6 separate regions of the Mus musculus genome follow, and all the other regions are reported to be linked to region 1. The links are microRNA targets in miRTarBase. Many come from high-throughput screens and were not tested one by one. Region 1 holds a microRNA gene; each other region holds the end of a gene's coding sequence.
The links. Region 1 holds the annotated microRNA mmu-miR-335-3p (UUUUUCAUUAUUGCUCCUGACC, at 2,108-2,129, shown strand). A microRNA usually pairs through its seed, bases 2 to 8, with sites in the 3' UTR of a target mRNA and lowers its output. Matches are read on the target gene's strand: a 7mer-m8 pairs with bases 2 to 8, a 7mer-A1 pairs with bases 2 to 7 and ends in A, and an 8mer does both.

Region 1 (3,583 bases):
TATGGTCCGGAGAGCGTGGGTGTGGCACCTCTGTTTCCCTGCGCCAGCAGGAAGCCCCTGTTCACTCTGCAGTAGGCGCCCCTCCCCGGCGTTCTGCTGAGTCACTGCGGATTCAGTGAGTCCAGCAAGGATGCCCCAGAGGCTACATGAAAATGTATGAACAGGTAACAGGACCAAATGGGTTCTGAGGAAATGAGCAGTAACAACAAAAAGACCCCCCCCTCCCCCAAACCTAATGCTTTTGCTTTTCAAAGAGGTTCAGCCTTAAAACCCGTTAGTGGATAACAGACTGAGATAAAAACCATCGTGTTCTGGCACTGTGCCAGGCATTTCTAGTATAGCCTCAAAAGGTAGAACCAAAGCCTTGTGTCTTTATTGGACAGTGACTTTGGAGGAAGGAAAAAAAAGTCTCAGCGCTGACTAAAGTTGAGGCAGGCAGCTGAGGTTCCTAAGGGGTGCTGGTTTTTACCCACCATTTCAGGTTTACAGAGAACACCCCCCCCACACACACAAAAACCCAGTCAGTTTCATCAAATTGCAGGTAATGTGTTATGTATAGGGTGCACTCAAATACAAAGACAGCGGTTTTATTTGTAGCTCACTTCCTAATGTCTGTAGCTTTAGTTTAGGAGGCACTATCCCAATTCTTTAGAGAACCCTTTCCTTGGTGACCATGGCGGGTCACAAAGGAAATGGTTTCTAATCGTGCCTTATTTCTCGCCTCCAGGATAAATTGATCTGGACCTTTGAAATCCAGGCATGGCAAGCTGGGGCCACAAATCTGTGCTTCCCCCCCCCTCCTGCCCCCCCCCCCCACAAAAGTCTTGAGTGCTAGGTGTGGGGGTGGGGTCTTAATTAAATAAAAGGGAACCACCTCAAGAGTCTGCTAAGAATGCACAAATATAATCTGCTGCCCAGACTTGTAAGAGATTAGATATTCAGGGTCAGGGCAAAGCTGCTTACTGGAATTCTCCTGGTCTCTCCCCTCAACAGTTCCATAGCCCAAATGCAGACAGTAGTGCCAAATGGGGATTCACTTGGTCAGAGGATATGTATGTGTTAGAACCCAGGAGCAGCTCTCTGCTTAAGGCCATGCAGTAAGTTACATATGTGCTTGGAAAGAATGGTAGTGAGCTAGTACAGTGACTGCCAGATGTCAAAGGGTAAAGGTGTTTATCACATTCTTCTTGGTAAAGTTTATGCCATTGTCACGTTGGGTGGGGAGGTGTGGAGTGGGGAAGGGAGGGGTGAAGTGGGGAGGGGAGGGGTGGAGTGGGCAGGGGAGGGGTCGAGTGGGAAGGGGTGGGGAGGGGAGGGGAGGGATGGGGGGTGGGGTCAAACCTCACAGTGCCCAGGTTTCCCACCCATGTTTCATTCTGATTTTTGGAAGTGTACAATGTTACCTTGGCTGCTTTTTCCACAGGATGAGAGAGTGGTGGGTCCAAGTAGGGCTCCTGGCTGTGCCCTTGCTGGCTGCGTACCTGCACATCCCGCCCCCTCAGCTCTCCCCTGCTCTGCACTCATGGAAGACTTCTGGCAAGTTTTTCACCTACAAAGGCCTACGCATCTTCTACCAAGGTGAGAACTGGGCTATTGGAGAATCCCAAGGACGTGGGTCGTGTAGGTTTCAGCTGAAGTTACTTATTTTGTGTCCCTTGGTCTGTTGCTCCACAGTGAAGGTGAGGTGAAGGTGGGGGTAGAATTGTGCCTGGTAGTAATTGCAGCCCCATTTGTATTTGAGAAATTACTTTTCTCTTTTGAGCGCCCCTAGTGTCAGGTAAGCTATATAGTATTTCGAGATCTATCTATACCTTTGTTTCCCCCACGCCCCACCCCATTCCCAAATTCATGCACTATTTTCCGTGATTTGTTATATGTAGCTGATAAGATTGACTTGATGACTGCTATTTAATTACCACACTCAGGATATTCAGTTATATTTTAACCTTCATTATTTCATTTTTCACTTAATTTTTACAACAGCATTTGGAGATAGGTGCCATTAACCTCATTTTATAGCTGAAGAAACCGAGAAACAGATTGGAAAAGATTTCTTTTGGGCGGGGGTCAAGAGCAATAACGAAAAATGTTTGTTTTTCGTAAACCGTTTTTCATTATTGCTCCTGACCCCCTCTCATGGGTTATAGCCAGTCGAGTAAGTATGCATTTTTTTTTTTATGTTGGCTTGTTGTTCTTTCCCAGACTTGATATTCAGTGTTACATCTTATTTGCATAGGTTCTTTAGGTTAAATCCAGTATATGATATTTTAATTGCTTTTAATTAAATAATTTCTGAAAACATGCTACCAAAGTTTTATTCCACTAGCAGTATTAATTTCAATCCAGTACTGTTGGCAAGGTATTTTATTGTTTGAATAATCTGAAATATGTCACATACAGAAAAAGTTCCCATCACTATTAGCCCATCTTTGTAACAGTTTGATTTTTTGAGTTGCATGAATTCTGCTAGTATATGGACAAATGGTATAAGCTCAGGTGATCCACTGGGAAGAACTGTCACATCTTAGATATTAGGTGTGATAAATATTGATTAGGGACAAAGAAGTTTTAGCTTGCTGTGATTATAGTATTTTAACTGTTTTTCCTTTTTATTTAAAAATTTGAGTTTTATATTAATGTCAGCGAAAATATGAGGATGTCTACACAACTCTTAAGTGATGATGAACAAACTGTTTTAAGGGTTTTCATGTAAAGCATGCCATTACGATTTAAAAGCGCAGATTAGGAGGAAGCTCCTGAAGTCCTGTCAGCTTGCTTTCTAACACAGCATGGTGATGTCATTCATTTAGTCTGATCCTTTTGACTGGATTAGATTTTGGTGTCGTCAAGGCTGCCTTGCATGCAGTTTGCCTCATTTCTCATTTTCCTCCTAGATTCTGTCGGTGTGGTCGGAAGCCCTGAGATAGTTGTGCTTTTACATGGCTTTCCAACATCCAGCTATGACTGGTACAAGGTAATAATGTTTCTAGGTCTGGCTTATGTCCTAAAAAAAATACTCAAAACTCAAGATATTTTTTTTGTTGTTGTTGTTGTTCTGGTCAGCCCTAGAATTCTTTTGCAGATTTGAACTGTTTGATAAAATCTCATTAAATGTAGAATTGCTTTTTATGTACTGTAAGGGGAGTAAAATACTGACTGCAGAAAGGGACACTGCCAAATTAAAGCTGGAGTTACGCTCTCCGTACAGTGGCATGCAGGCCTGTTTGCTGTGGGGCTGGGCAGTGGGAGCAGAGTGCTCACCATGCTTGCTTTCTTAACAGATCTGGGAAGGGCTGACCCTGAGGTTCCATCGAGTGATCGCCCTTGATTTCTTAGGCTTTGGCTTCAGTGACAAGCCGGTAAGCAGCAGCTGGGTGTGGTCCGTGATGGGGGTAGGTGGGTGGGTACAAATGAGGGTCTGGCAGGCACTGCTAACATCATGTTGTATCTCTGGCTTTCCTTTCCTCAGAGACCACATCAGTACTCCATATTTGAGCAGGCCAGCATCGTAGAGTCCCTTCTGCGGCACCTGGGGCTCCAGAACCGCAGAATCAACCTGCTGTCTCACGATTATGGAGATATC
Region 2 (3,583 bases), not on the chromosome of region 1:
GAGGTAATTGGAAAAACCTGTGTCCCCCAGAGGTTCCTATGTTTGATGGTAGAATTACTGTCAAGGTTACTTGTGGTTGTGTTAAAGCACTCTAGTATTTATTCAGGAGGCTTATCCAGTGACACAGTGCAGCCTGAGCAGACGGTGTTAAGTGAGACAAGCTTCATTACATTGGAGCTCCTGCTCATTTCCCTGCAGTGCGTGAGTGAAGGGGAATGATCCAGAGGCAAGTCCTCATTTAGAGGTGCTGTGCCCAGAATGCTAAAGGCACGGCCTCACATGGAGAGCAAATGCATAGGCACCCTGACAGGGTTCTTTCAAGTTAGACAAGGAAATCCCCACACAAATTTAGTGCTGCTGCTTAAAGAATCAACTTAGACTTAGCTTTCATTATATCCCCAAATATACCTTTCCCCCTAGACTTTGGCTTATAAGTCAACAGTTTATAGACCCTTATTCAAGTTCCCCATTTTTTCCTTTGCCCAAGATTAAACTATGTATGTGTCAATCCTGTAGGTAGATGGCTTTTTATTGGAGAAACTAGTTGGGAAAATTCTGTGCGTTTCACACTCAAGTGCTAGTAGCATTTTATACAAAGTACAGCTCAGTGGGCTACAGTATTTTCTCAATTTGCTCTTGCTAAAAACATTTTGCTTGTGTTTGTGTGCACGTGCAAAATGAAACCAGTAGCAGTCTTCCATGGACTATATGTCTCTACCTATGTAAAATCTTGATGATGTATATTATTTAAAAAAAATGACACCATACCGCGAACAGAGAAAGATAGGATTTATGTATGGTAAAAAGGCAAGCGAATGAAGCTATAATTTTATTTCATTATTCTTTAGTACATCCACAACTATTTCCACCTAAATAGATCTTTAAAATAAGCATACACAAGTATTGACTATTATCTACAAATATTTATTGTAACACTTGAATAGAACTACAGGAAGCCCTTGGCACTGATAGAAAATATTGATTCACTGTTAGGTTACAAAAATTTATACATAGCAAAATTTAATGCTCTTTACATAAAAAATATTAGACTACTTCAACAAAACTTTCAAAAGTTCCTGGCAATAGCTACCAGAATTAGAAAAGTAAAATTAGGCTTTAGACACCGCCTCTTCTAGAACACTGGACTCTTAACAGCACCTCCACTGCTGGAAACAATAATTCTGTCATGCAACAGGAAAACAAAACACTAAGCTATCTTGGAACAACTGTTCTACACAGAAGAGAGCGTCTCCCAATTAAAAGGAATCCAATTAGGCGTTTCTCGGCATTATCCAAAAGAAAAAAAATCCAAATGAAATATTATAGTTGATGTTCAGTTTTACTAGCATCTTGATAAAGATATGCTTCCTTTCATTTGAATACATCTCTGCACATGTATATGTTTTAAAATCCAGGAAACAGCCAAACCACAAGTTAACTCTTAACATGAATATACATAGTTAACCCTATAGTATGCAGCCCCTTTGAAAAGCACTGATGCACCCCACAGTTATATGGATCATTCCAGAAAGAAGAACACAAAACTTACCATCACTAATACCCAGTACCTATTAGTCACTTAATGTTCTGGAACACAATGAGTTAGAAGGCAAGTTTCTTTTGAAAATGGCTTAAACTCAAGCAGTTTTCTTGCTGAATATCAAACATTATTATTCCAGGAAATTAAGATTTAGATAGGAAAACAGTGAAATAAATACCAACCCTAATTTAAATTACTTATGTATTAAAGTCTATAAAAGTAGAAGGTCAGAGGTCTGTGGTCAATTTGCAGTTAGGTTTTAGATAGTTGATATGAAACTGTAAACTCACTGTCCAGACCACTTAAAAATGGTTTAGAATGGTAGTCACTTTAACAAGGTAACACTTCTTAAGAAAGATATTCATGGAACAAAATAATCTATGTAGGAATTTTGGGTTTCTGGTTACAATATAAATGATTAGAAATTGAAAGCAAATATTAAGGCAGAGCTGACATTTATTTCCAAACAATAGTGATCACCAAATCCTCAGTCCCATTTTGTTCCGATGTGATCAACTGGGAAGCTCATTTTGCAGAGCTCGGGTCAGAATCCAGCTTCTGCACTGATACATTTAGCACACTTGCAGCTCATTTTCCTATTACTAGAAGATAGGTTTCTCAGTGGCTTGGGAAACATTCGAATGTGTGAGACCGTGAGGGTGCTGAGTTTTAAGTTTGGAAGAATCACATTATCTTTGATGAGCCAAAGGTTAATAAAGGTCAGTTATCAAAAATGAACTTGACACTGATTCTATTTTGATAACACTTGAAGACAGGTGGCATATGTAAATCTAGGGTCATATCCTTTGATTCTGGCATGCCATAGGTCCCCAGTAAGGAACGTGATGTGATTCTATCCCGTGTTAAAACTGCTCTAGCAGTTAACTGGACATGCCACGACTTTGCAAAGGATGAACGGTCATTCTGTCAAAAGTGTTGCCTTTTAAAATGGCTAAAGTGAAACCTCCAATATTTGTTCTAAAGAAACTGATTTACCCACTGGAAGGTTTTCCTAGAGATCCACCCCAGCAGTTTGAGACAGACAGTGAAATGTTGGTACGTCTACATTAGTTTGGTGGGATACACATCTGTACTGCAGAGCAGCTGTCTGATGATGTGTCAGAGCTGTGAATTCATTGGCTGACACGCTCTGGCAAACACTTTTAAGTGTAAGAATTGAGTTGTTCTTTTGAGCGAGACTGGATATCTTGCAGTTCCTGCTCTTCCTTTGCTTTGATATCCTGGTAAGCCTGCATTTTGCTTGCATCCTTTAAGTAAGCCCAGTTAGAAGACAGTATCATGAGGAAGTGGATCTGGAAAAGAAGGGTGAGCATGATGGCTAGTGAGCATGTGAGAAGGCAAAGCGAGCTGCTAGTCACATTAGACGGATCAGCTGGAGAAGGGCGAGGGTTATTCGCTATTAATACTCTTCTGCTGGCAGAGCTGGCAGACACGGAGCATGCTCTACTAGTTTGCTTCATAGTAGGTTGAAGAAACGTTAGTATGCACATATAGTGAACTTGGGAATAAAATGACCAAGTTATTGTTAAGAAGTAAAAATGAAATATATGACAGTGTTTTTCACCATTTTGAGAGTAATTTTAAAAGACAAATGCAAAAGTTCAGAAACATGTTGCTTTTTATGTTTAAAAATGTGGAGCAAAGACTTATCTGTGGGTAAAAAAAAAAAAATCCCCCCAAAGGCCTACAAAGTGTGAAAAATGTTCATTTTGAGTAAATGACTATAGAAGTATATATTTACCATGAAGAAATTAAATGAATGTCAAAACCAAAATTAAAAGCTAAGTATGAAGTCTATATGTTAACAATTTTTTAGCAATGAAAACTATTTTCTCCCTTTTATAACTGCCAGTATTTCATTTCCTCTAAGTTCATTTCACATAAAAATCCTTATCATTCTTTACAGTTCCTGTGGCATACACATCCTTCCCATGTATTTTCCCATTGCCCGAAGCAAATCTACACAGCTCAGTTTCCTTAAAGGCCACATTCCCTTCTCATACCATACTTCCTTCTCAACGT
Region 3 (3,583 bases), not on the chromosome of region 1:
GGTTTTCTCTCTCCCTGTAGATTTACTTTGAGATAGCTTCAATTTTGGTTTCCTAAATAAAAGGACTTAGAAAACGTTCAGTGGCCATTGAAAAATGAATAAAACTGGCTTGCTATCCATGAAGCCACAACAGAAAGCCACTGCTCTCTTACTCTTCTGGTTTTCCATAAGTAACCTTGTCTAGGACTTTTCAGTCACCCTCTAAGGGAAAAAAAGAATAGATGTTCTACCTAAAAAGCATCATATGATTAGGAAAACCAGCATGTGGTACAAGCCCAGACTCAGGATGACCCTATGTGCATGGTCAATGGAGCAGATCTGAATTAGCATCAGGCTCTGGGGAAGAGGTGTTACTCACTGTCACTAACGACCACACCGTGGCGCTCAGAGACAATCGTTTCTCCTATGTTCTTATGGGATGCTACAGTTCCTTTATTGTTTCAATTTGAAACAAGGTCTTGCTATCTATCTAGTTCTTAGGCCCCAACGTATCTTCCTGCCTCATACTCCCCAGTCGTATTACAGGTAAGCAACCAGACTCAGCAAACGTTTTAAAAGAGTAAACTAGTTTGGGCAAAGTAGGGTTTTTGCAGTTATGTGGGGTCTTTTTGTTTTGTTTTTTTCTCAAAGTCTGCAAGTCTTTCGAGTTAATAGTCACTGTCCTCTGCAAGGTGCAGAGCAGAACACAATGTATTTCAAAATTATTTTGTGGGATTTCTTTGTTTTAGGAAATACTATTTTGGAAACAGATGGACTCCGTTTCCAAGACATACCACATCTATAACTTAATAGTTATTCTCCGCACGATCCAAGAGGATAGGCTGCTCTAAACTCAGTACCTACCATACCCATAGGATTGACTGAAATGTAGGAACTGTAAATTTGCAAAGAATTCTTTCCTTCTCTGTTTCCAAGAGCAACAAATCCCTATGCTGTGACTGAATTCCTGCCTCTGCTTTTCGAGATGAGTCACTGAATTCTCTCTGAAAACCAACTTACTCTATCATCTAGATTCATTAAATAATTATGTCTTAAAATGTTAAAAGAAACAAAATGACCTTCAGTTCTCCTGAAATTCAGCAGGTAACTGTCAACCTGGGTATTCATAATACTGGAATGAATTAAGACAATAGTAAATAACTTTTAGCTCTTGAATAGCATCATAATCATTCATATAAAGTAATTTTGGTTTAAATTCACTAGACTAAAAGCATTCTGCCTCCTTCCTGCCTTCATCACTGTTGTGGATGCTGTTATTAGAGGTAAAGAATCTATTCAGTTCCTTACTTCAAGGCCTTCCATGCCATGATTAGGCAAACATCATAAGGTGATCTCTCCCCCACCCCACAAACAAGGATACAGACACATTTGGAGAAGTCAGAACTATGCCACATTCATAAAACACATTAGATAACCCAGGCAGGACTAAGTATTGGTATTAAAATAACTACTAAAATTACCATCTATTGCCACAAGATGGCAATCTTTCAAAGATTAAACTTAAGGTACCTTAAATTATACACTCTCCTTCTCAATCAGTGGGCAAAGATTCTTTTATTTTACCATTGAGAAGTTGGAGTGATAAATATTGACCATCTTTTTAAAAGAACTACAAAGTTATCTGATGTGATATGATGCAAATTCCTGATTCAAAAAGCTATTTAAAGACAGACAAACTTGTCTTCTGGAATCTCATGAGAAACCTGGTCTAACAGTCTCATTTGCTTCTTGGTAAATAGAAAATATACAATTTTTGGTGAAGAGAAACCTGTCAAGGCAATGTTGCTTTTTTTTTTTTTCAAGAGCTTAATATTTTCTAGGGTGAATCAGATCAATGATTTTTAAAATTACAACATAAATACAATAGATGAATAAATAATTATTAGATAAATTACACATAATTTAAAATACTTTTACCAAAACAACATATAATCAATTAACTTAATCTATCTTGCAATATAGTGCTTTTTTGTCTTAAATTAAAAAAAAAACTTGCACAAAAATGTTTGGTTTTTTTTTGATTAAAAGCACTGATGTGTCAATACATATGTATATATATGTAAACAACACATATACGTATTCCAGGAGAATATACTTTTAAATATTTAAGGCTTCCCTGTCCAATCAGGTTCAACAGTGAAGGTCACAGAGATCAAGCTTTGGAAGTATACAAAGACATGATGGCCAAAGCAAGGTTTTTAGCTAAAGGATTAATGAAAGGGAAAAGCATTGAGCAAGACAGAGGCTCCTGAGGAAGACGGAGGGAGGAGGTGGCATCGATAACAAATGTTAAGGGAATTAGCAAACATGCCAGAGGGCCATGACTGCCGGCCCTCCTCCCAGCTACCCCAGTCTGATAAACACAAACAAGATCATAGAGTAGAATTTTCTTTTAAGAGACTGTTGTTGGTATTTTGCTTGTCTCATTGAACTGTGTACTAATTTTGCATGGTTTTGTTTTGCTTGGTGGTGGTGTGATTTAACTAGGCGCCTTGCACAACTGTCAGGAAGCTGGGAGATTAGGCTCCTGTTATCAGAAACACAGTCTTAATGGCTAATACTAGGCAGTATTTGCAGAAATAATTTAAAAGACTTTGGTTTCTAATATTTAGGGGGACAGGATTTTCAGATTTCTACATTGAAATAATATTTCCCTAACAGTTATTCTATATCTTAATCTTCTTGTGCAAGAGTGCCCAGGCAGCCTAACAGCTGCTGAAGTTTAGGAGGTAAACCGGATTTACGTACAGGAAACATGAAGGAAGGAGGCCCATTGAACCACCCCTACCTCAGCGGGTTCGTTCATCAGTGAGGTGTGCTTGCCATCTACAGCGAATTCACAGGTGTAAGTTAGCAAGCGCCACCACACTCACCCAGTACTACCCATGCAAACTTGTCACAGGCACAGGAGAGTTACAGAGTTCTACGAGTAAACAGAATGCTGGATTTCTGTGTTTTCGGTGATTTCAATAACACTGCATGTCACCTGGGAATGTTCACACCAACTTCTATTGCAGAGCACGTAATACCGAGTGAGATAATAATTTAAAGAGTGTATGTGATTTCACAGGGGGGTGACAGAAAGACAGAGACCAGGGGTGGATAATCAACGAGCTAAAGCAGTGATAAGACTGGCGCACATTTCAAAAAAATCCATGGTGTGACTGCCCAGGCGCGGGGATGCCGAGGACAAAGTGCTGCCAGTCAAAGAGCCAGTGAGAGAGCCAGAAAGGGAGTGGTTCTCAGCTGTGCTGGAATCAAAACTTGACCGTGCTCTGTGGAGGCCCGCAGCAGAACAGGAGCGCTGGGGTGTTGAAGAACCAGACCTCTGCTCCACCACCTCATCTGAAACGACCAAAGAACAGTAAACATAGCAACAGCCGAGTGCTTGCCCGAGTCCTCCCGGGGAAGATGCTGCAGAAGGCGAAGTAAAACCGATCTGAGCAAGGAGCTTAGGAAGGACTGTGATGCTTGTGTTTAGAAGATGCAGCATTTATAAGGAAATGAAAGGGAATATGCATACATCTGAAAAGTCATTACATCCTCGGCAATTTATTTTCTGCTAAGACCACAGGTTTGGTTT
Region 4 (3,583 bases), not on the chromosome of region 1:
TACACTGTAGCTGTACAGATGGTTGTGAGCCATCATGTGGTTGCTGGGAATTGAACTCAGGACCTCTGTTCACTCTGGCCCCGCTCACTCCTTCCCAAAAAAGATTTATTTATTATTATATGTAAGTACACTATAGCTGTCTTCAGACACACCAGAAGAGGGCGTCAGATCTCATTACAGATGGTTATAAGCCACCATATGGTTGCTGGGACTTGAACTCAGGACCTTCGGAAGAGCATTCATTGCTCTTAACCACTGAGCCATCTCTCCAGCCCGCATTGTAGATTTTAAAGAAAGATGACCATTCTATTGCATGCTATACTGCTGTAATCATAGTTACAGTGGATCCTTCTGTGAGCGTGAATTATTTATAGTCGTCGTCGTCGTCATCATCATCACCATCACCATCACCATCACCATCACCATCACCATCATCTGTTGTGCTAAGGCTTGAATACAGGCTCTCTTGCAAAAAAAAAAATGTACGCAAGTGTTCTACCACTAAGTCATATTCCCATCCGTTATTTTTAATTATGTTTAATTCATTTGACACTTTCTAAATATTGATTGTGGGGCTGGAGAGATGGCTCAGCTGTTAAGAGCACTGACTGCTCTTCCAGAGGTCCTGAGTTCAATTCCCAGCAGCCACAAGGTGGCTCACAACCATCTGTAATGGGATTCGATGCCCTCTTCTGGTGTGTCTGAAGACAGCTACAGTGTACTCAGCTACATTAAACAAACAAACAAACAAACAAACAAATCAACCTTTGGAAAAAAATTGATTGTGAAATGTTCTATGTAATGATGCCCTGCCTCAATGTCTCAACGCCCTGTACTGGGATTATACACATGTGTGCTACCATGCCAGGCTTTGGCTCATGGCTCTAGTAGGAAACCAACCTATTTTGATTAGAATCCGCATTTCTGATGAAGGCTTCTCTCTGTCCTTTTGATAAATGGGTCCTCAGAGGATACCACACTTTGAATCCTTAGCGAATGAGCCTGCTATCCCCTCATCTCACAGGTCTCCCTGGAGAGTCAGGATCTGCATATTCTGAGGTGTGAATTCTGCTTCCCATAAATATGGAGGAATGCAGTATTGGCCAGCCTGTAGGGTAAGCGGAAATACGACAAATGCAGATGGTTGGGAACAAATAGCTCTTGGTCTGAAAGGACCGGGTCAGAAGAGAACCACTCGAACTAGGTTCAAACCAGAGAACTCCCTCTCTGTCTCAAGAGATGGGGAAAGTTTTGTAAAAGGTGGAGCTAGAGCCCGTGGCCATTTAGATGCGAAGCTGAGTCTTACCTATGAAATGACCACGATCGTCCCATGGAAGAAGCCAGAACCACTGTCTGGAAACGAGACTAAGAGGTGGTGAATCCCGTTGGCTGAAATGTTCAAGCAAGGGCTTGGTGCTGCACAGAGGTGAGACAGATGTCTGTGCCTCTTGGACAGTCGAGCTGCAATCTGTGAAGGAGCCTCCCAGCTTTAGATGAAGTAAAACACAGAAATAGAGCTAGGACATTAACGAATAACAATCTAGAATCCACCCTGGAAGATAATCCTGAAACTCGTTCTTTATCCATATATTCTCTAGAAGCCACACTTTGTGAGAGTCACTTCTAGCTTCTACGCTCTGGAGTAGTTATACACTTTTATACACTTCGTATATAAGTGTCTTGAAAACTTTTAGTGCATACTTTTGTGAGAGTCTGTGTGTGTGTGTGTAAGAGAGAGAGAAAATGTGTGTGTATGTGTGTGTGTGTGTGTGTGTGTGTGTGTGTGAGGGAGGGAGAGAGAGAGAGAAGGGAGAGAGAGAGAGAGAGAGAGAGAGGGAGAGAGAAAGAGAGGGAGAGAGAGAGGGAGAGAAAGAAAGAGAGGGAGAGAGAGAGAGAGAGAGAGCGTTACAGCATACACCTATCTTGCTGGCTCATTTCCCCCCTGTATGTTTTCCTTGCGCTTTCTCTATCCCCTTTTTCCATTCTGACATATACTATCAGAATAAAAGAGAACATGGTTTACTTTTTCTCTAGAGTTGCGATGACTTCCTGGTAGTTGAGATAGCATGTTCTTCCTGCTTGTCTACACTCCTCTGAGCAAAACCTAGAAGGATCTGTCCCTTAAACTTTGGCGCCTACAGTAGAACACTTAGGCTAATCTTGATTTAGGATTAGTATTCTGTTGTCTCATCACCCCTAGGAGCCAGAGAGACCTATCCTTGGAAGATGAAAGGTCCCTGGGTGGCTCACCTCTGGACAGTACTGCCAAATAGCTGCAGACATCCAGATTTTGGTCCTCTGCTGCCCCCTTGTGGATAAGTTGGAAATAACAGCTCAAGCTTTCATAGTGTTGTATAAGAATTGGTGAAGGGTTTGGTGGCTAGAAAGTGAGCCAGGGGTTCCCAGAAGGAAGGGGTCAAACTGTTAATAACGCCAAGACACTTTCTTCTTTTTCACCTCTTTATTTTTTTTTAACTCCAGACGCATGGTTTTCAGTGAGACTATGACCACCTAAAAGACTCCAAGTTATTTGACCCTGAGCAGCTCCCGTAGGGTGTCATGTCAGTCCTCACACACCTCCCTCTTCCTGGAGTTGCACAGCTATAACCTACAACCTGCTCCCTCTGCATTGGTGGCTTTCACACCACTCCATCACTGACCGACCGACTCTAATGTTGCTTTCTGCAACCTGTACCACCTTCCTTCACATCTATGTGTCTGCAACCCTGACATCCCCACTGCTCACGTACTTCAGGGCAGTGGTCCTTTGTTTGGGGGGGGGCACTTGAACACAATGAGGGGAAGAGATTCTGAGTCATTTGGGCACACCCTGCTCTAACCCAGGACTGGCCTAACCACACAACCATCCTCTTACAGCTCAGCTGCTTCCTTCCCAGGTCAGCAGCCCCTACCCATCACACTGCCCAACCTGGCTCTCCATCCCCATCCCCAAAGAGCCACAGTGGTCTTGGGGCTCTTCACTCTCCTGCTGCTGAGGGAGGATGGGTTGTCTGGTCTTTCTACTACCTGTCACTTGGGTTTTCTCTTCCCAGCTGGGAGCCAGGAAACCACCCAGAGACCTGGCCTGGTTCCTTTCAGTTCATGCCTCTAGACCCTGCCGCAGCCTACGGTCCAGGGCTAGGAGCTGCCTCAAGAAGCCCCGGTTGGGGGTGATGCCTCGGTGGTCCTTGACTTTCTTGATGGCCTCCACAAGGGTGAAGTGGTGATACAGCATGAGGTAGGCCAGCACCAGGGTAGCGGATCTGCTCACTCCCACCGCACAGTGCACCAGGATCTTCCCTGGGAAGAGGAAGGCAGAAACATCTGAGAGACTGCTGGGGGGCGAAGGGGGGGGCTGCGAGAGGCTAGGGAGAGCTCAGCATGGTCCACTAGGCTGTAAGCCCGTGGCATATGGAGACAGGACTGGGTGAGGAAGAGTGGTGCCGAGAATGTAGATCCTGGGCTGGTGAGATGGGTCCCTGGGTAAAGGCATTTTCCACGCAAGCCTAACAACCTGAGTTTTATCCCTAGAAACCATGTAAAGAGACCTGACACCACAAAATTGTCCCCATGGCTTCTGCAG
Region 5 (3,583 bases), not on the chromosome of region 1:
GCCAGCCTTAGCGCTAGATGAGCTGGTAATGCTTCTACATTGTGCTCGCTTCAACGCTTCTTCATTTATTCATGAGCTGTTGGAGCTGGGGATACAGGCTTAAAGAGAGAAAATATTATTTTAAAATTAATAGTAGTTCTAGATTAGTAATGATTTCTACAATGGCCATTTGATTTAAAGTGCATTGGTTTTTCTTGTTTGTTTGTTTGTTTGTTTGTTTAAAGCATTCTCAGAATTGTGGTGCAGGAACAGGAATTTTCCTTTTAATCAACGCGTCAGTGATCATCATCATCCGAGGCCACCGCTTTTGCCTCTGGGGTTCCGTCTACTTGGATGCTCATGGAGAAGAGGACCGGGACCTCAGGTTAGCCCTGCCTTGAAACACATGTCAAGGGTTTTCCTGAAGCTCCAGCAGGAGAGGAGAAACCAGTGTGCCACACCTGGTTTTGCAATTACAACTTAAAATGTTACAAAGTATGACAATCATTAATTTAAATAGTTATTTCTAGCTTTGAGATAGTTTTCCTATCCAAAATACAGGACACATAAAATGAAATTATACTGTTATCTTTGCCATAGTGTGTTGAAGAAGGAATGCATGGGTAAGCCTGTTTGGCTCTCATGATTAATGCTTTGTGCTATTCTTGTGTTGCAGGCGAGGCAAGCCTCTCTACATCTGTGAGGAGCGGTACAGAGTTCTCGAGCAGCAGTGGGTTTCCCACACGTTTGACCACATCAATAAAAGATGGGGTCCGCACTACAATGGGCTGTGACACACACCTCAGCATTGCATATATTATCATTTTCACTGAGATTGATTTTCATCAACAATAAGCTTTAATTTAATTTGGGGGGATTGATGTCTTTGCTGAGGGATAAAAAGAAAACATACATTATGCAGCCTTCCCAAAATTAGGTGCTTGGTAACCACAGTAATGGTATAATATTTTTTCTCAAGTATCCGGACAACAAATAATTTAAATCATTCTTTAGTGGTCACTTTTTAAGTGCACAATAATAAAAGCACAACTGTCCACAGAAATCATTGAGAAATGATTGTCCCTATAACGCCCTGTTGGTTGTTCCCCGACAGAGAGGATGTGGTTTATTTGAGGTTTCCCTGCTCCTTTTGTGTTCTCATTTGCATCTGCTAAACATAATGCATCTTTTCCTTTGTCACCCTTGTGTTGATTTGAGATTTTCGCTGTATGTAATTAGAAACAAATGTAAAACATGATTTATGTGAAATATTGTATAGTAAAAAATTGGTCTAATAGTAGAACTTTACATTTTTTTCTTATTGTGAGGAATCTGTTAAAGTTTAAGGCTTTGCTGAAAACTTAATTCATTCTCAGGAATTTCATAAATGCTTTCCGCGGGTAAATAGTTGAACTAGCTGTAAGATACAGTGCAGTGCAGTGCAGCGCACAGAGGGAGGGCAAGGCGTGTGTGTGGTTGGGGAGGTCCTTAGAAATAAGTGTGTGTGGGCTGAGGGTGGAGCTCAGTGGTAGAAAGCTTACCTGGCTAACATTTACAGAACCCCAGTTTCATCTTAAGCACCGCACATACACAAAATCAATTTGCCATTTCAACTAAATGAAAATAAGAGTTGTTAGTGACGAGCATATGTTACAATAAACTCAAAAGGGTTAAGAACATATACATGGCAGAGTTTTGATTCTGTGCATGCCCACCTTTCCTTACCAACCAAGCCTTTATTTATGTGATCAGATTGAAATGCTCATCTGCCCAACACATGGGCGTTAAGTTCTGGGACTCTCCTCAGTGACTGAAGAAGCTCCTGTCTGCTGGGCTCCTGCAGTGTCACTGATGTTTCTGTGTGCTTCCTACAGCAGAAAAGGCCCAGAGGTACTGACCCTGGGAGTGAGCCGTGCTTCTGCTTTCAGACATTGCAGTGAGGATCAGCTTATTGGTGGGTGGGTGGGGGGTTAATTCAGAATGGGAATGAGTGAGCAAAAATCCACTTAGTAAGAGGGAAAGAAGATGACAGAAAAACATATTTTATTGGTACCAAGACTTTTTTTTCCAGGTGATTGAATAATTTGATGATTATTTCATATATAGTACTATCAAGCAATTCCTGGTACTTTGGATTTCCATGGCTTGCTATATAAAATTACATTTTTTTACTTGTAAAACTAAACAACAAAACATTGAATGAGAAAATATCAAAGTAACATCAAACCCATGTTCCAAAATTTTTTGAATTGATGATGGCGTTACAGACTATGAAATTAACATAAAACAGTGGCTTTGCATTAAAATACGGGGAACAGAGTAGTACACACACAGATGTGTTCAGAATGCCAGAAGATTGCCTGGAGCATTTTAAGAAAATATGCCGGAATAGCTTGCTATTTTTATATACATTTCCAAAATGGTGAGATAACTTTGTTAAGAGTAGAATGACTTCTTCAGGTAAATCCCTGCCCTTCTACACCTGCTCTCTAAAGTGCTGCGCTACAAGCTCAGCCTGCTACCTTTTTTGCTTCGGTCATTATAAATAGCAGACCATTTGTAAGTGTGGTTGAAGAGCAAAATGCTAATTACATCTCTAGTAAATACTGTTACAGGATTCATGAACTTGAGTAATTTTACAGTTTGGAACTCTGATGCTATATATACATGGTATAATGTATTCAGACTTTGATCACTACATATTTAAATGGAATGTTTATGGTTGTGCATATGGATGTGAAGTGAAAATATTAGCCTTAACTTTAAAATTTGGATATTTGATAGTGTTTATTTTGATATTGGTGAATTAGTCACCAGTAAATTTTAAAAAAAGCACTTGGTTGAAATTGTACTTGAATAAATACATGCATGCTGCTAAATTAGAACCTCCATTCCCCTAACTTTTATAAGTCCCATTTATAAACCCACTTTTAAAATAACAGGTCCAAGTTAGAGTGATGTGTGTATATTATTCAAAAACATGTACTGGTGTGATCTTGTATGAATGATCATTTAAATACAGTACATTACTGTAGAAGTGAAATCAACCTTTATAATTAAGCAGAAATTACAAAACTAGGAATAATTGACGTTGTAAGATATGTTAATAAAACCTACTGTCATTTGCTTTGTGCAAGATCCTTATAATGTTGAATGTTTATGTTTTCTTTTCCAATGATATTGAGAATGACATAGGAGAGTGATGGGGTAATTAGGAACCGCCTTTCACTGTGTTCTCTTGCCTCCTCCTGAAGGACCAGGTCCTGTTAGTTTTGTGTGGTCTTACGATCACACTTTTGCTAAGTGTTAAGTGTTTGTGCTAGGTGCAGAAGCATGACTCTGGCCTGTTGTCTGCTGAGAGTTCCTACCTAGGCCTGGAAACTGCTTCGTAAGGGCATTTGTCTTGAGGGGTCCGTGGTCTTCCATGAACTGACCATTCTCATCAGTGCACCTCTGTCCTGTAGTTCACCAGGACAGAGTAATAGTAATTCCGTTTATACGTTCTGGTATTTATTGTTTTTATGATCTATGAAAGACGCTGACCATAAGCACTGAAGAGGGTGTAACCCAGCCTTCCTTACTTTACTGCCTTTGGGATTGTAAC
Region 6 (3,583 bases), not on the chromosome of region 1:
GATTCATCCTGGCACGTTGTTTTGTCCTCAGCTGGGAGACGACATTGTTCAAACACCAGTGCACCCTGTCACTCAGCAATACTCTACAGCTCACATGACTTAACGCACAGCTCTTCCACTTCTTCCGTGTGGGACCTGTTTGGGAAAATGGAGGGAAGCACTCTCAGATTCCCTCAGATGGATGTGGGTGCCAGGGGCTGTTCTGTTTATGTGAATCCAGCTTTGCCCTTAGGAATAATGTTCACCCGAGTCTGCTCTGTACCCCAGACCTGTGCTCTTCAAACCCCCATTCTTCCTGTTTGGCTGCTTTTTAGCCTCTGAGCAGAGCCAAGCCTACCATTGCTATTTGCTCTCCGGAGCCTGCAATGCTTTCTGAGCCCCGAGGATGGTTTTTTGAGCTGTTCCTGTGAAGGCAGTGAAAGCAAATCCCTCGATGCTGGAATAAACCGAGCCGCCCTGAATCAGAGGGCTTCGTTGCACCTTTTGTCTCTGGGTGTTGCTAAGAAAATGAATAGGGCAAATGCCTTGAGACTAGAAGCCAACTGAACTTGCCTGTTATTTTCTTTCTTTTGCAGGGGAGAGACCATACTACCCCAGGGACTGTGCCAGCAGGGCCCCTCCGAAAGGGGATCTAGAGACACACCTCCAGCGCCCGGCCCCGTGACAGTGTTGACTGTGGCCTCACGGGCGGCTGGAAGGCTCCAGCAGTGACCATGGCCGCTTTGGGGAAGAAGATCCAGGGCCTCCTGACCTGATACGTCAGACTCGGGGGCCATTGCGGTAGAGCAGACCCAGGGACAGCAAAGATGCTATGCCTAGAATTCCGTGTAGCTCTTTCACACACATGTATGTGCTCATCACCCATGGCCTGTGTCTCCTCGGGATAAGCAGTGGCATTGGCAGGCACAGTGGGAGCTCAAGGAGTCTGGATTACTCAAGACAGGCATGAGACACTGGAAAAAAGATACTGGTGTGTTTGGAAGAAGTGGACAGCACTGTGGGGAGGTCCAGTGCGTAGGACAGAGATGATGCTGTCAGGATGTGGGGAGCGGAGGGGGCTGCACTACCGCCTCTCCCCGCCGCCTCAGTGGGGACTTAAAGTAGAAGGTGAGACAGAGGGGTGTTCAGGTGGTGTTCGAGTGCTGTGGAGAGGAGCTTGGTGAGGCAGGGCAATGAGATAGCTCCTCACGGTTGGAGTCTGGCCTTGACCCTCTGAGCTGCTTATGCCCCGCCATGCTGCGTCCTCACCGTCCGGGCTGCGTCTGGCTCAGGAAACACTGCAGAGGTGGGAACACATATAAATCTGCTTTGGGAAAGAAACATTAGTTGAACACTAAGAGGAGCAGGTGTCTTTTTTATTCTCAGGACCTTTTTTGTAACAGGGCTACATTCTGCAAACTGCTCACGGAAGGCGACTCCATGTCTTAACAGAGTACCGCTGAGTCCTCCCAATTTGGGCCTGTTTTGGTGATGTCAGAGGAACCCTTGAGCAGATTGGGGGCCCTAGACCCTTAGGGTGCTAGTGCTCTGGAGCCTTCTCTCTCCTCCTCCCACCCCCTTTCCCCTGCACCACCCCAGCAAATAGATGTCTTTCCCCGTTGGGCCTGGTGAGCACCACCGGATGAGTGACTTTGTTCACAGATTAATGGGGGTCGCCAGGCCTGAGGGTGAAGACGGCTTTATATACCTCTTCCTTAGTCACGCAAGTTCACGTTTCTGCGGTGGGGTGAAGGCCCGAGCAGAGGCTGCGAACCCACGCGACGTGCGCAGTCGGAACTGTATTCCGCAGGTAGCAGCGATTCCTTTCCCCGTTGCTGTGACACTGTGTGTGATGGCGATACTTCTGCAAGTTCCAGATGTTTGCACATATGATTTTATGCATTATCACGAATTACCGCTGCCTTGAATGAAAACGTTCTGTGAAATTTTTTGCAAAAGCTTTACTAGTTTTTTTTTATTGTGAAATTTTGTAAAGGCAGGAAATGGATTAAGACGAGCATGCTAAATATATTTTTCAAAAAAAAAAGCAATAATTTTACATGTACAGAAATTATCCTAACCTTTAATACTGGTGAGAGCGACAGTTTACTTAACCCGGTAATGGATCAGCGCGGTTTTTGTAGGAAATGGGCTTCTGATACAAAGACTTGTTTAAACACACATGTATACACGAACCCTGGCGCGTGGTTCTCTGTTCTAATGATCTGTTGGATTGTTATTATTATTATTATATTATTATTATTATTATTGTTGTTGTTATTGTTAGTTAATGTTTGATTCCAGGTTCTATTTGTTACTGTTTTAATTACTTGACCGTTCAGGTGACTGCTGCACTTGCAAGCAATGCAATGTTAACTGGCTAGCAGATATATATATATATATACATATATATATACACACATATATACATATATATATATATATGTGTGTGTGTGTGTGTGTATATAATTTTTTTTACTTACTTTTCCTGATACTCCTACAGCAGGTTTGTATGAGAGCGGCTTGCCGTGTCGGAGCGCTTGGGAATAGCCATCATTCTGAGGCGTTACTTGGAGCAGGAGCAGGTCGTAGAGATACATTCCTCTCTCCGCCTGAGGCAGCGTAGTACCTTTCTGTTGACGGCGTTTGTTCTTTTTGCTAGGTTCCCCATCATTTCTGCGCTCTCTGGCTTTTTGTTCCCTTGGCTGAGAGTGAAGGTGAGAGTTAGGAATGTCAGAGCCTGTGATTCGGCCCATCTATTTCTGTGTTTTAGTTATTAAACAGTTCTGTACACAAAGGGACACGAAGGTGTCGTCTGTGTTTTTCCTGTGTCTGAGGCTGCACTTGGCATTGAGAACTGGAAGGTCTGTCTGTCCCATGAGTCTCCTTCCCAGGGTCTGGCGGGGAAAGACGGGTGCCTGAGGTCCGTCTGCCTGCCTGGAGAGCAGCCAGTCTCAGGATGACCTGCCCCTCCAAGCACAGAGAGGCACAATTTTCCTGTAGCCACAAGGCCATGAGGTCCCCAGCGCTCACTCCTGGGACCAGCTGTGTGCTGGCCTGCTGCATGGTCTCTCTGTCCCGCTGGCCATCAGTATTGGACTGGTTTGTTAATTTGTCTATGTCAGCTCAACAATAGTATTTAATATGATTTGTGTTTCCTTATTTATTTAGCCAATCTGTTTTGCTTTGCCCCTCCTCCTGTGGTGATTTCCACATCTCTGACTGTTACGGACCTCCTACCTACCTCTCTGCATCTTCTGTCTCCTTGTTTCCTGACGGGGTTTTTACAGTGTTGCGTCTAATGTAACTTAGACAATAAAGGGTTTGGTTGTCTACACTGCAGCCGCTCACTCTGTGTGTCCCCTGCCCTCTCCAGCTGCCCTCTTCTGACTCCTGCCTCGCTCTCTGGCTCACACCAGCCCAGCCCCCACCATCCCCTGCTTCACTGTGTGACGTGTCTTCTCTTACGCTTTTCCTCCTTTCAAGTACACATTACACAGAGTTTCTCAAATACTTCAGGTGATTCACTCATTCTTAATTCCCAGAATGAAGGTTTAACTTCACGAACAATAAATACATTGTGGACTCTTCTCCTCTGGGGAGT

Region 2: miRTarBase lists Gpm6b as a target of mmu-miR-335-3p. The part of its 3' UTR that is shown has no 7-base or 8-base seed match.
Region 3: the mRNA of Prkaa2 is a reported target of mmu-miR-335-3p. Seed matches in the 3' UTR shown: 7mer-A1 at 1,795-1,801.
Region 4: the mRNA of Dusp26 is a reported target of mmu-miR-335-3p. Seed matches in the 3' UTR shown: 7mer-A1 at 2,450-2,456.
Region 5: the mRNA of Ubr3 is a reported target of mmu-miR-335-3p. Seed matches in the 3' UTR shown: 7mer-m8 at 1,597-1,603.
Region 6: the mRNA of Zfp516 is a reported target of mmu-miR-335-3p. Seed matches in the 3' UTR shown: 7mer-m8 at 1,907-1,913.

The regions. Positions count from the first base shown.
Region 1 is chr6:30,739,247-30,742,829 of GRCm38, forward strand. Mir335 (microRNA 335) reads left to right here and starts at 2,053; the gene lies at 2,053-2,150. It overlaps Mest (mesoderm specific transcript), which reads left to right. Exons shown (of 12, transcript NM_008590.2): 2 at 1,424-1,578; 3 at 2,895-2,974; 4 at 3,282-3,359; 5 at 3,470-3,583.
Region 2 is chrX:166,386,222-166,389,804 of GRCm38, reverse strand. It overlaps Gpm6b (glycoprotein m6b), which reads right to left. Exons shown (of 8, transcript NM_001177955.1): 8 at 772-2,853. The coding sequence ends at 2,704. It also overlaps a transcript of Ofd1 not described here. Among named protein-coding and RNA genes, the nearest start is that of Gpm6b, 43 kb to the right of the region's middle.
Region 3 is chr4:105,032,986-105,036,568 of GRCm38, forward strand. Prkaa2 (protein kinase, AMP-activated, alpha 2 catalytic subunit) reads right to left here. Exons shown (of 9, transcript NM_178143.2): 9 at 1-3,345. The coding sequence ends at 3,107. Among named protein-coding and RNA genes, the nearest start is that of Gm52670, 16 kb to the left of the region's middle.
Region 4 is chr8:31,095,906-31,099,488 of GRCm38, reverse strand. Dusp26 (dual specificity phosphatase 26 (putative)) reads right to left here. Exons shown (of 5, transcript NM_025869.4): 5 at 2,443-3,300. The coding sequence ends at 3,101. Among named protein-coding and RNA genes, the nearest start is that of Dusp26, 8.2 kb to the right of the region's middle.
Region 5 is chr2:70,020,888-70,024,470 of GRCm38, forward strand. It overlaps Ubr3 (ubiquitin protein ligase E3 component n-recognin 3), which reads left to right. Exons shown (of 39, transcript NM_177783.6): 38 at 225-364; 39 at 656-3,123. The coding sequence ends at 773. Among named protein-coding and RNA genes, the nearest start is that of Myo3b, 16 kb to the right of the region's middle.
Region 6 is chr18:83,000,698-83,004,280 of GRCm38, forward strand. Zfp516 (zinc finger protein 516) reads left to right here. Exons shown (of 6, transcript NM_183033.2): 6 at 576-3,583. The coding sequence ends at 635. Among named protein-coding and RNA genes, the nearest start is that of Gm41795, 8.7 kb to the right of the region's middle.